Linked DNA regions of Anolis sagrei. The protein of the gene in region 1 interacts with the protein of each later gene in a pairwise test. Links are inferred from orthologs where the notes say so. Each region holds a gene or a part of one and is shown on either strand. Other genes may lie near its edges.

Region 1 (7,049 bases):
CTGGGATTTATAGTTCACCTACAATCAAAGAGCATTCTGAACCCCACCAATGACAGAATTGAGGCAAACTCCCCACACAGAACCCCCATAACCAACAGAAAATACTCAAGGCCATCCAGTCCAACTCCCTTCACCAGGGCAAATCAAAACCCTCCTGACAAAGAGCCATCCAGCCATAGATATAGATAGATATATATGATTCACACACACACAGTTATAGTATCATAGATTTTAAAGGGCTCCGTAAAGAAGGACAATTATACAGGGTTAGTCAAAATGCATAGGCCAATAAGCCATTCAATTGAATGGCTTATTGGCCTATGCATTTTGACTAACCCTGTATGTTGCATGTTACAGAGTAGGCAAACCAGACAATCTCCACATCAACATTGATAAAGAAACAGCAAGAAATACTGTTTACCCACAACCATAAAGAAATTAGATATATTAGAAACCAACACTTTCTCATTACTTGATTTTCCAGATCACCAGACTGGGCCACAGCAACGCCTGGCAGGGGACAGCTACTACTAATAATAATAATGAAACCTTACTTACTTACTTAGGTGATCCCTCATTGTCCGAGTAGGATTGTCTTCCAAGATCGGTGTACTTGCGGTGGTTCCGTAGGTGACTGTGAAGCCCTATTCTTGACCTGCATGTTCTCCCACAGTGAGGGCATCGGTTTCCATGTGGAAAGCAGTCCTGGTCGGGGTTGGCTTGACGCACCTTCCTCTTGGCACGTTTCTCACTTTCACCCTCCATTCTGCCTCTTCAAATTCTACAGCACTGCTGGTCACAGCTGACCTCCAACTGGAGCGCTCAAGGGCCAGGGCTTCCCAGTTCTCAGTGTCTATGCCAGAGTTTTTAAGGTTGTCTTTGAGCCCATCTTTCAATCTCTTTTCCTGCCCACCAACATTCCGTTTTCCGTTCTTGAGTTCGGAGTAGAGCAACTACTTTGGGAGACGGTGGTCGGTCCAGCGGAGTTGATAGCGGAGGAGCATCACTTCAGTGCTGGTGGTCCTTGCTTCTTCTAGCATGCTGACATTTGTTGCAAGCAGTAGTATGGGTGTTAGAAGGGGAGAAAGGGGTACTCGTGAGCAGGAGTCAGATGAGGAACAACAAAGGAAAAGGATCCGGGATATACTTATGGCACCTACCGATGAAGACTCATTCGAAGGGTTTTCCGGGGATGAAGGGTCAATGAGTGAGGGAGAGGAAGACGATACAATGGATGGGAATAGGGGAACAAAGAGGGTTACCTGAGAGCAAGAATCGGATGAGGAGCGACAGAGGAAGAGGATATATTTACTGCTCCCATAGATGAAGAATCATTTGTAGGTTTCTCTGGGAGTGATGGGTCAGGGAGCGATGAAGATGGGGATGACACGTTGGACTGGACTAAGGTAAAAGAGATACAAACTGTATGTGCAGAGCCAACGTCTAGTGATACATTTGTAGGGTTCTCTGGTAACGAGGACTGGCAATCGGGGAATACATTTGAGTCTTGTGTGGGGGAATCTAAGTCTTGACAGAAGTTGGAGAAGTTGGAGGGATGGGAGTAGGAATTCACGTGTGGAGTCAAGAACAGCTGTAAGAGATTATGATGGGGCGGAGGTCAGCTCATCTTCTGATGATGATGTGTAAGATAAAAGTAGGCTCTGAAATGGGGAATCTTTGCAGAAGGCAAGGTGTTGGTTTCGTCCGTGCATTGGGTACTTGTCGCTGCCTGTCATGTTGGTATTGGGTCCTGCATCTACAGGTTACTGCTTCCTTTCGTGTGTGTTTCTGGCCTACAACTCCCAGAAATCCTAGCCAGTTTACCAGCTGTTAGGATTTCTGGGAGTTGTAGGCCAAAAACGTCTGGGGACCCCAGGTTGAGAAGCACTGCTGTAGACCATGGCCATATAGCCCAAAAAACCCCACAACAACCCAGTAATGTTAGTTTGTGAGATTCTCAAAAACCACTGGACGAATTGACACTAAATTTAGACACAAGACACCTCTCAGGCCAACAAGTGACCACTTATAAAAACACTGGAAAACACAGCAGAAGAGACTTAAAAATAATAATAAAAGGGTGCTGTCTCCTTTCTGTTGAAATTGCCTGCATGCTTGTGGATTTCTCTGTATGGTCTGAACATAGCAAGTGGTTTATTTTATTGTTGTGTCAGAGCAACCAGTCCATTATATTACATTTCTAACAGAACAAAGTAAACAAACAGAAAGATACACAACTTGTGAATTTGGTAGTTGATTAATTGTCCTTTGACCAATATCTGTCTACTTGGAGTGCCTCTGATGTTGCTGCAAGAAGGTCCTCCCTGGTGCATGTGGCAGGGCTCAGGGTGCATTGCAGCAGGTGGTCAGTGGTTTGCTCCTCTCCGCACTCGCATGTCGAGGATTCCACTTTGTGGCCCCATTTCTGAAGGTTGGCTCTGCATCTCGTGGTGCCAGAGCGCAGTCTGTTCAGCGCCTTCCAAGTCGCCCAGTCTTCTGTGTGCCCAGGGGGGAGTCTCTCATTTTGTAACAGCCATTGGTTGAGGTGCTGGATTTGGGCCTGCCACTGTTGGACTCTTGCTTGCTGAGGCATTCCAGCGAGTGTCTCTGTAGATCTTAGAAAACTTTGTCTAGATTTAAGTCGTTGGCGTGATGGCTGATACCCAAACAGGGGATGAGCTGGAGATGTCTCTGCCTTAGTCCTTCCACTATTGGCTGCTACTTCCCGGCGGATGTCAGGTGGTGCAATACCTGCTAGACAGTGTAATTTCTCCAGTGGTGTAGGGTGCAGACACCCCGTGATAATGCAGCATGTCTCATTCAGAGCCACATCCACTGTTTTAGCGTGGTGAGATGTGTTCCACACTGGGCATGCATACTCAGCAGCAGAGTAGCATAGCGCAAGGGCAGATGTCTTCACTGTGTCTGGTTGTGATCCCCAGGTTGTGCCAATCAGCTTTCATATGATATTGTTTCTAGTACCCACATTTTGCTTGATGTTCAGGCAGTGCTTCTTGTAGTTGCAACATCAACTCCGCTGGGCCAGCCACGTTGTCCGGATGCCTGACCACCGTCTCCCAAAACAGTTGCTCTACTCCGAACTTAAGAACGGAAAACGGAATGTTGGTGGGCAGGAAAAGAGATTGAAAGATGGGCTCAAAGCCAACCTTAAAAACTCTGGCATAGACACTGAGAACTAGGAAGCCCTGGCCCTTGAGCGCTCCAGCTGGAGGACAGCTGTGACCAGCAGTGCTGCAGAATTTGAGGAGGCACGAGTGGAGGGTGAAAGAGAGAAACGTGCCAGGAGGAAGGCGCGTCAAGCCAACCCCGACCGAGACCGCCTTCCACCTGGAAACCAATGCCCTCACTGCGGAAGAAGATACAGAGCAAGAATAGGGCTCCACAGCCACATACGGACCCACAAGGAAATCCATAATGGAAGACCATCTTACTCGTCCAATGAGGGATCGCCTAAGTAAGTAAGTAAGTAAGCTTCTTGTAGGTCAGAGAACGGTCCAGAGTGACTCCCAGATATTTGGGTGTGCTGCAATGCTCCAGTGGGATTCCTTCCCAGGTAATAATCCACAGAGCTCAGGATGCTTGTCTGTTCTTGAGATGAAAGGCACATGTCTGTGTTTTAGATGGATTAGGGATCAGCTGGTTTTCCCTGTAATAGGCAGTAAGAGCACCTAGAGCTTCGGAGAGCTTCTGTTCAACCATCTCAAAGCTCCCTGCTTGAGTGGTGATGGCACGATCATCAGCATAGATGAAACTCTCTGTCCCTTCTGGCAGTGGCTGGTCATTTGTGTAGATGTTGAACATGGATGGAGCAAGCAAGTGGTGGGATTAGCCCAGCCTGCCTGGGTTCTCCAATCATATGCTCCCCCGCATGCGCAGTGCGGTCCTTTCCCGGGTTGCCCTAGCGCGCATGCGTGCTGCGGTTTCCTGGCGGCCGGCGAATGCAGCAGAGGCGGCGCGCGGGGAGGCAGTGGCGGCAGCGCATGCGCAGTGAGTGTCAGGCTGGGTCTGTTTTCTTTCCTTCCTCCCTCCCTCCGGCCCGGAGGAGCGCCTCTGAGGGGAGATGGGGGGCGGCTTGGCGGGGGGCCTGCGGGGGCCTGGGGGGCCGTGAACGCGGGAGACTCCATGGGCTGACCCAGGCGTGTGTTTGCCTCCCTCAGAGAGGCCGGCGGCGGAGGAGGAGGAGGAGGAGGAGGAGGAGGAAGAGAAGAGAAGAGAGAGAGAGGCCGAGCGGGCCTAGAGGGAGGCCGGCCAGCCATGGACGAGCAGAGCGTGGAGGTGAGCAAAGGCCTGCTTCTCATTCACGGTTGGGCCTCCCTCCACACATAGGAATCATTCACAGACGCACATTACCCTTTATACAGTCTCCTGTGCTATACTCAGAATATAAAATATTGTATATATATATATCATGTGTTTGTGTAGTCTCCTGTGCTATACTAATACTAATAATACTATACTAATACTATACTAATAATAATATACTAATAATATAATATAAGGTAATGCAACTCCAGGCAGTCATGCCGGCCACCTGACCTTGGAGGTGTCTATGGACAACGCCAGCTCTTCGGCTTAGAAATGGAGATGAGCACCACACCCCAGAGTCAGACACGACTGGGCTGCATGTCAGGGGAAAACCTTTACTAATACAGTATATGACTACTGCTAATACAATATTATATATATATATACTGTATATGTATATATATATATATATATATATATAACATGTAATATTACTAATTATCAATATAGTAATATATATATATGCTGTATTGTCGAAGGCTTTCATGGCCGGAATCACTCAGTTCTTGTGGGTTTTTTCGGGCTATATGGCCATGTTCTAGAGGCATTTCTCCTCTAGAACATTTCTCCAGGAGAAATGCCTCTAGAACATGGCCATATAGCCCGAAAAAACCCACAAGAACTGAGTATATATATGCTTCTCGTTCAGCGTTGGGCCTCCACGCATAGGAATCATTCGCAAACGCACACACACACACACACACATATTACATGTAATATTGCTAATTATAATGGTATAGTACAATATAGCAATATATATAATAATATTGTGCTATTCTAATGATATAATATATTGTATGTATATATATCATGTGTTTGTGTAGTCTCCTGTGCTATACTAATACTAATAATACTATACTAATACTATACTAATACTAATATACTAATAATATAATATAATATAAGGTAATGCAACTCCAGGCAGTCATGCAGGCCACCTGACCTTGGAGGTGTCTACGGACAACGCCGGCTCTTCGGCTTAGAAATGGAGATGAGCACCACACCCCAGAGTCGGACACGACTGGACTGCATGTCAGGGGAAAACCTTTACTAATACAGTATACGACTACTGCTAATACAATATTATATATATATATATATATATATATAATATTACATGTAATATTACTAATTATAATGGTATAGTACAATATAGTAATATATATGATAATATTGTGCTATTCTAATAATATAATATATTGTATGTGTATATATCATGTGTTTGTGTAGTCTCCTGTGCTATACTAATACTAATAATACTAATAATACTATACTAATACTAATATACTAATAATATAATATAATATAAGATAAGATAATGCAACTCCAGGCAGTCATGCCGGCCACCTGACCTTGGAGGCGTCTACAGACAACGGCAGCTCTTCGGCTTAGAAATGGAGATGAGCACCAACTCCCAGAGTCGGACACGACTGGACTGCATGTCAGAGGAAAACCTTTACTAATACAATATAGGACTACTGCTAATACAATATATATATATATATATATATATATATATATATATATATATATATAAAACATGTAATATTACTAATTATAGTGGTATAGTACAATATATTAATATATATAATAGTATTTTGCTATGCTAATGATATAATATATTGTATGTATATGTATCATGTGTTTGTGTAGTCTCCTGTGCTATACTAAGAATACAATGTTATCTATATAAATAAAAATGTAATGTTCGTTTGTGGGATTAACAGAACTCAAAAACCACTGGACGAATTGACACCAAATTTGGACACAAGACACCTAACAACCCAATGTATGTTCTTCACTCAAAAATGATTTTGTCTTTTGGGAGTTGTAGTTGCTAGGATTTATAGTTCACCTACAATCAAAGAGCATTCTGAACCCCACCAGCGATGGAATTGAACCAAACTTGGCACACAGTTCTCCCATGACCAACAGAAAATACTGGAAGGGTTTGGTGGGCAGTGTCCTTTGGTTTTGGAGTTGTAGTTCACCTACATCCAGAGAGCACTGTGGACTCAGACAGTGATGGATCTGGACCAAACTCTACATGAATACTCAATATGCCCAAATTTGAGCACTGGTGGAGTTTGGGGGAAAATAGAATCTTGACATTTGGGAGTTGTAGTTGCTGGGATTTATAGTTCACCTACAATCACAATCACAGATCATTCTGAACCCCACCAACAATAGAATTGGGCCAAACCTCCCAAACAGAATCCCCATGTGGGCCACAGCAACGCGTGGCAGGGGACAGCTAGTATATATACATAAAATATTTATAATATTATAATGTAATGCAATACGAATCTAATAGTAATACAATATTAATATATATTTTATATTACTAATATTATTACTAATAATATTACAATATGGTATTATAATATATTGTATATACATATAATATTTATAATATTATAATGTATTACTAATAATAATACAATATTATAATTATATATGTTATATCACATGTAATATTACTAATAATATTACAATATAATGGTATAGTACAGTATAGTAATATATATAATGATATTGTGCTATGCTAATAATATAATATATTGTATTGTTTATACATATAATATTTATAATATAATGTAATACAATATAATACTAATAATAATAATACAATTTTATAATTATATATTTTATTTTACATGTAATATTACTAATATTGTTATAATTTTTATAGTTTTTATAGCTTCTATGATTTTTATATGTTT
Region 2 (7,726 bases), on another chromosome or scaffold:
CACAAATGTCAACACAATAAAACATATTGTATTATGAATGTAATAACTAAAATATAGTTGTGAGGCTTAGCCTTTTCCCTTCCTGATGAAAATGGTCAAAAATAATTTGAAACATGTGTCCCTCTGCCTTTATTTTGCATTAAATCCTTAAGATAGCCAAAAATTAAAATAGTGTATAATTCCTTATGAGTTGAAAGACTCATTCCATTTTTGAGAGATCCAGTAGAGGCTCTCCAGTGGAAGAGGGAGAATCCTACCAGTTTTCCACATTTGCTCTTGTTCTGGAGGGTCCCTCATAATCTGGAGGAACGTCTCCAGGGCTACATTAACAGAAGGACAAAAGCTGTGATGTGAATGTTGTTTTTAAGAAGGAAGTCCATAATGAGATACTAACTGAGCGGCGAGGAAGTGATCTTCCAGGATCCAAAATATTGATTGTGTATTTTCAAACACAAGTACCTGTTTTGCAGTTGTATTTATTACCGTGTGCCTATGGATTTAAAAATAAATATGCCCAGGTCTCATAAATCCTGCATAAAGTGTGCATGCAACTCTTTTCCTCCCAAAAACGATGACCTGAGTCATTTAGAAGAATCAATAAGTCATTCACAATAATGTGTGCTTGCAATTTGATCCATATACAACTCAATATCAAGCAGGGGAGCCAGAATATAGTTTATACAGCAGTTTCTCGTGTATATTATAGCCTTTTTCGTTTACAACCTGCACTTAGTGCTTGCCTTTAAAGGCCTTCTTAACCATTGCTGAACATGTTTTATCATGTTCCTATTGCTTATGTCCAGTTTTACTACTGCAGGTAAGCAAAAAACCAATGCTTTCAGAAGAGGTTATGTTAGGTAATAGTTTTAAAAATTATTTCAGCACATGCAGGGAAATTGCTAAAATTGAGCTAATACATATTCCTTGAACAAGTTTATACTTGCTTTATCATTTACTGGCTGGGGAAATACCTACCAGAGGGCAAATCTGAAATATACAGTAGAAAAAGGTAAAGGTTTCCCCTCACATTAAGTGTAGTCGTGTGCAACTCTGCGGGGTGGTGCTCATCTCAATTTCTAAGCTGAAGAGCTGGCGTTGCCTGTAAACACCTCCAAGGTCATGTGGCCAGCATGACTTCATGGAGTGCCTTTACCTTCCTGCAGAAGCGGTACCTATTGATCTACTCACATTTGCATGTTTTCGAACTGCTAGGTTGGGAGAAGCTGGCGCTAACAGTGGGAGCCCACCCCGCTCTCCGGATTCAAACCACCAACCTTTCGGTCAGGAAGTTGAAGGGTATCTCAACCAGAATCACGGGTGGTGTGTGGCTTCTGGGCTGTATGGCCATGTTCTAGTAGCATTTTCTCCTGATGTTTCGCCTGCATCTATAGCTGACAATTTCAGAGAATCTCTGAAGAAATTGCTGCTAGAACACAACCATACAGTCTGGTACCTGTACTACACCATTGATATCATGTCCCCTCTCGGCTATCACCAGGCTCAACATACCCAGGTCCCTAAGCCTTCCCCTTAGTGCTTGGGTTCCAAACCTTGGTCCTTTTGTTCACCCTGCTCTGGACATGTTCCAGCTTCCAGGTGAGGTCTAACCAAAGCAGAATAGCAGACTGACTTCCCTCAATCTCAACACTACAATTAATGCACCCTAGAATCACAGTGACTTTTTTGGCTGCTGCATCACACTGTTGACTCATGTTCAGCTTATGGTCTACCCAAGACCCCTAGATCTCTTTCAGATGTACGGCTTTCACACTAGATGTCACCCATCCATTATTGATTGATTTACGTTTATCCCAAATGGGATTCAAACTGGTTTCCAGCATAAAGATGAGTATGGGGGGGGGGGGGGTGCAGTAGTGCAGCGGGTTAAACTGCTAGCTGCAGGAAAATGCTGACCAGGGGGTTGGTAGTTTGAAGCATGAGTCGGGTGAGCTCCAACTGTCAGCCCTAGCTTCTGCCAACCTAGAAGTTCGAAAGCATGCAATGCAATTAGAGCAATAAGTACCGCCTCAGCAGAAAGGTAAACAGGCGCCCCATGCAGATATGCAGACATGCTGGCAACACAATCAGATATGTGTACAGACACAGATTCCTCGGCATGGAAAAATGGAACGAGCACCACCCATGGCCAGAGTTGAGCATTGCCTCCAGGTGTCAGAGATGGAAAAAAGGGGAAGGCCTTAACCTTTGTGTTGTCTGTCTTTGTTCACTGTGTGTAAAAGACATTGAATGTTTGCCTCATATGTGTATCATAATCCGCTCTTGAGTTCCTCCAGAGAGATAAAGCGGAATATAAATAAAATGTATTATTATTATTTGAAACACAAGATGAGTCCACAGCAGACAAGATCACTATGCTGGCTGTTGTATTGGATCACACGTCGGACACTTCCCAAGTGTCTAGGACTGTTTGATGTATCGGTGAATAATGCGTGCAGATCCCAGTAAGGTGGCCTTCTGCAGCTGGCAGATGGTAATTTTGTCAGCGCCGATTGTGTTTTAAGTGCAGGCCAAGGTCTTTAGGTACTGCACCCAGTGTGCCAATCACCACTGGGACCACCTTTACTGGCTTGTGCCAGAGTCTTTGCAGCTCTATCTTTAAATTATCATATTGTGTCAGCTTTTCCAGTCATTTCTCTTTAATCGCACTGTCACCTGGGATTGCAACATCGGCGATCTATACTTTGTTTTTTAACACAATCATGAGGTCAGGAGTATTGTGTTCCAAAACTCTTGTCAGTCTGAATTCGGAAGTCCCAGAGTAGTTTGACGTGTCCATTTTCTGTAATATTTTCAGTCTTGTGATCCCACCAGTTCTTTGTCGCAAGCAGATGGTATTTGTGGCACAAGTTCCAATGAATCATCTGAGAAACAGTGTTATGCCTCTGCTTGTAGTCTGTCTTATTGTGTCTTATTGTGAATTCGGAAGTCCCAGAGTAGTTTGACGTGTTCATTTTCTGTAATTTTTTCAGGCTTGTGATCCCACCAGTTCTTTGTCACAGGCAGATGGTATTTGTGGCACAAGTTCCAATGAATCATCTGAGAAACAGTGTTATGCCTCCGCTTGTAGTCTGCTTGCGATCTTCTTGCAGGATATGATGTATTGTTTCATCTGCTTCCTTGCAGAGTCTACATTTGGGATCTGTCATATGTATGATGATGATGATGATTATTATTATTTAAAACAACATGAAGTACAAAAGTTGAAACGACATTGCATAGTATATTCAATCAATGGGAAGAATTTTACTTTTATAGTGGGGTTCCTCGCAAGGTTGTTGGATGGTCATCTTTCAGGACTGCATTCCCGAAAGATTGTGTATTCCTACCTAGCAGGGAATAGATGGTCCTTGTGGTCCCTTCCAATACTATGATTCTTTGACTAGCTTTTCCAGCCTGGTAGTATTGTTACAATATCAAGCAGTTTCCTCCTAGACAAGGCAAAGAAGACTGGAAGTGAAGAAAGTTCCTTTCTATAATTAAAAAAACCCCCTAAAAACTATAGACTTTTTATGAAAAACCACTTCTGTGATTATCTGAATGGGAGGATCAACTGAACCTGGGCCCTTTTCATAGAACATGCACTCCAGCACTGAAGGATGAATCTACCAGGCATGGGAAAACTCTGGCCCTCCAGGTGTTTTTTTGGACTTCAACTCCCACAATTCCTGACCTCAGACCCCTTCCTTTCCCCCCTCAGACGCTTAAGCTGAGGGGGGGGGGGAGGAAGGGGTCTGAGGCCAGAAATTGTGGGAGCTGAAGTCCAAAACACCTGGAGGGACAGAGTTTGCCCCATGTCTAATCTACACTGTAGAAAGCCCTATATGACTCCGGCCCAGCGTACCTGTCCGAATGTATCTCCCTCTACAACCCACCTCAAAGTTTAAGATCTTCTGGGGAGGCCCTGCTCTCGGCCCCTCCTTTGGTGCAAACACGCTTGGTGGGGATGAGGGACAGGGCCTTCTTGGTGGTGGCCCCCCACCTGTGGATCTCGCTTCCCGGTGAAATCAGGTCAACAGCATCCCTCCTTGCCTTCAGGAGGAAATTGAAAATGTGTTTATGGCAGATAATTTGACAATGGTAATAATGATAATGTTATGGAAAATGGACTATGAGCAAGCTTCCGATTGTGTTGTGCTCGCTGATTTCGTTTCTACATAAGACTATACAGCCAGTATTATTGCACATTGCACTTTTTATTAATGTTCTTTTCATTTTAAAATTAATGTACTATGTTTGATATGTAATTTTGTATGTATTATTTATATGTAATGGCATCGAATTGTGCCAGATGTAAGCTGCCCTGAGTGAGAAGGGCGGGGTACAAATGTTTGAAATAATAGTAATAAATAATAATAGAAGTAATGTAGTTTGGCATCACTTGAACTGCCATGGCCCAATGCTATGGCATCAAAGGAGTTGTAGTTTTACCTACAAGAGCTTTCTGTGCCAAACTATGCTGGTATCTCACTAAAACTACAACTCCATGGCAAAGTGGTGTCAAAACTGCTGGCACCTCACCAAAACTACAACTCCATGGCAGTCAAACTGCATGAATTCTACCTAGGATTGACAGATGCAGCCTCATCCAGCCCTGCCAATTAATGCGGAGCTGCGGGTATCATTGGTTGGATTAGCCTCCTAAGGGGGTGGGCCTTTAGGGGGTGACGTGAGAGGGAGGCGGGGCTTAAGAAACCTTGATAGGAGAACACAATCTGCGGGGCTTTCACTTGGGCTTGGATGCTGCGTCGGGTGGGGATGCTGCGGTTCGTCTCTGGCTGAGAGGAGCCATGGAAGCGAAGGCTGGATTGGGCAGGTAAGTGGGGCATGAAGAGCCCACTTGGGGCTGAAAGGAAAAGAGGAGGAGGAGGAGTGGGGGGAGGCAATCCCGTTGCCAGAGCGTTTGTTGTCGTGTTTCTAGGCGGCTGCGACAGTCGTCACTTCGCTGCTTTCCAGGCTGGGGGCGACTTCCAAACACCAGGATGGGCACCAAACTTGGGGGAAGTTCTTCTTCTTTGGGGGGATGATTGTAGGATTTGAAGAAGGGGGAAAGGACTTTGCTCCAAGCTCTAGATCAGTGTTTCTCAACTTTCCTAATGCTGTGACCCCTTAATACAGTTCCTCATGTTGTGGTGACCCCCAACCAGAACATGATTTTTGTTGCTACTTCATAACTAATTTTGCTACTGTTATAAATCGAAGGGGACTCAGAGCGGCTTACAAGATATATATATATATATATATATATATATATATATATACACACACACATACATACATACATACACATATACATACATACATACATATACATACACACACACACACACACACACACACACACATATATACACACAAACACACATACATACGATATATTATTAGCATAGTACAATATCAGTAATATATATTGCTATATTGTACTATACCATTATATTGTAATATTATTAGTATTACATGTAATATAAAATACATAATTATATTATTATATTATATTATATTATATTATATTATATTATATTATATTATTAGCACAGCACAGGAGACAAGGTGGAACTGTCGTCTGCCCCCCTCTCTCTTCACTCTGGCCCAGAGCAGCAGTTAGTGCTGGGACAAGGGGTCCCCAATTGATGACATATGTAGTGGTAGGGATTTATAGTTCACCTACAATCAAAGAGCATTCTGAACCAAACTTGGCACACAGAACTCCCATAACGAACATAAAATATTGGAAGGGTTTGCAGGGCATTGACCTTGAGGTCTGGAGTTGTAGTTTACCTATATCCAGAGAGCACTGTAGACTCAATGATGGATCTGGACCAAACTTGGCACAAATACTCAATATGCTCAAATGCAAACACTGGTGGAGTTTGGGGAAAACAGAGCTTGATATTTGGGAGTTGTAGTTGCTGGGATTTATAATTCACTTACAATCAAAGAGCATTCTGAATCCCACTGATAGAATTGGGCCAACCTTCCCTCACATAACTCGCATGACCAACAGAAAATACTGTTTTCTGATGGTCTTTGGTGACTCCTCTGACACCCCCTCACAACCCCCCCCCCCCCACGTTGAGAAACTGCTCTAGATGGGTCAATGGGAGCTTTTAGGAAGAAACTAGGAAAAGGAATATGAGAAGGGTCCGATCGTTTTGCTACACATCTTTGACCACCCCCCCCCCCCAAACTTTATAAGCATTCACACTATCAGCTCTGGATGACTAAGAATCAAAAGTAAAAACATAGTGCTGGTCCTCCATGTTTACGGATTCTGCACCCACAGATTCTACTATCCACTGCTTGAATGTGCTTGAGCCTCCAAGAGTTTAGGATCCCCAGGGCTACTGGAAACAAACTCCAGCAGATACCAAGAGCCCATCATAGTTAATACAGGTGGTACAGCCAGCATGGCATTATGGTTGAAGTAAACCTCTAGAGACCAAATACAGTCCAGCTGACACAAGGGGCGCCTTTCTCTGAGCTAGAGACCAAGGTTTGAACCTCTGTTTTGTTATGATAGTCCAGACTATTTGATGAACTGCATCTCCCACTATAGATCAATTCAGACACTGCGGTCATCGTAGGAGGCCCAGCTCTCGGTCCCACCCCTGTCTCAAGCATGGCTGGTTGGAACGAGAGAAAAGGCCTTCTCCATGGCCACCCCCCACCTCTGGAACTCCCTTCCTAAGGAGTTAAAGATGGCCCCCTCCCTCCCTGTCTCAAGAAACATCTGAAGATGTACCTTTGCTCACTGGCTAACGAAGAGGAGTAGATGGTATTTTGAATCCAGGAAGCAGGGTGAGCTCCCATCTGTCAGCTCCAGCTTCATATTCAGGGACATGAGAAAAGCCTCCCACAGGATGGTAAAACATCCAGGCATCCCCTGGGCAATGTCCTTGCAGACGGCCAATTCTCTCACACCTGAAGTGACTTGCAGTTTCTCAAGTTGCTCGTGACATGAGGGGAAAAAAAGCCTCAGAGAAAAGCAACCCCCCCCCCCCCAACCAATATGACCAAGAAAATCCTGTGATAGGTTCACTCTAGGGCTGCCATTGGTTGAAAACTTCTTGAAGGCACAGAACAAAGAAGAATTTGACAAAACCGGCGACTAGAAACAGCACAACTGCAGTGAATGCTTACAGTGCCTACAGGCTGAAACACATGATTCTAAGTATCATTGTACCTGGGGATTAATAGCATCTCTGGCCAGAGTGTGTGTGCCTTAGAAGGCTCAAAAAGTAAAAGCATACAGTTTTAGCCCTTTATGTATATCGATACAGTGTATATAAGCATGTGGAAAATGTCTTTGTAAGTATAACTAATTACAGGGATATTTCGGATACAAATAATACATTTCTGTTTGAAAAACTGCATAATTATTTTACAGCCAGTCATTTTGGTGTCAACCAGTGCAGTTCACACCCCGCTCACCTCCCAACACCACAGTGATCCTTTTTGTGTTGACATACCTTCAAGTAGACTCATGTCAAACATATTGCAGGGTTTTCTTGCCTTTGGTATCTTCTAAGGGTGAGAAAGTGCAACTTGCCCAAAATTCGCTCAGTTGGTTTCCATGGCTAAGTGGAGATTTGAGCACCGATGTCCCAATTTAATGTTCTGCCCCCTGCATAATGCATTTTAGAAGACGATTATTATTTTATTTTGCCGCAATTCTAAATGTGTAACTTGAGACTGTTTTCAGTAATTT

The links. The genes of interacting proteins can lie anywhere in the genome.
Region 2: the proteins of TRIM37 (region 1) and FAM124B interact in a two-hybrid assay, tested with the Homo sapiens proteins (2 studies listed by BioGRID and IntAct). The link is inferred for Anolis sagrei from reciprocal best matches to the Homo sapiens genes TRIM37 and FAM124B.

What each region holds. Positions count from the first base shown.
Region 1 is NC_090031.1:22,626,584-22,633,632, reverse strand, and holds the start of TRIM37 (E3 ubiquitin-protein ligase TRIM37), read left to right. Parts: upstream 1-4,030; 5' UTR 4,031-4,275; coding exon 4,276-4,296; intron 4,297-7,049. UniProt on the Homo sapiens protein: E3 ubiquitin-protein ligase required to prevent centriole reduplication. Probably acts by ubiquitinating positive regulators of centriole reduplication.
Region 2 is NC_090023.1:234,189,222-234,196,947, reverse strand, and holds the start of FAM124B (protein FAM124B), read left to right. Parts: upstream 1-4,715; 5' UTR 4,716-4,834; intron 4,835-7,726.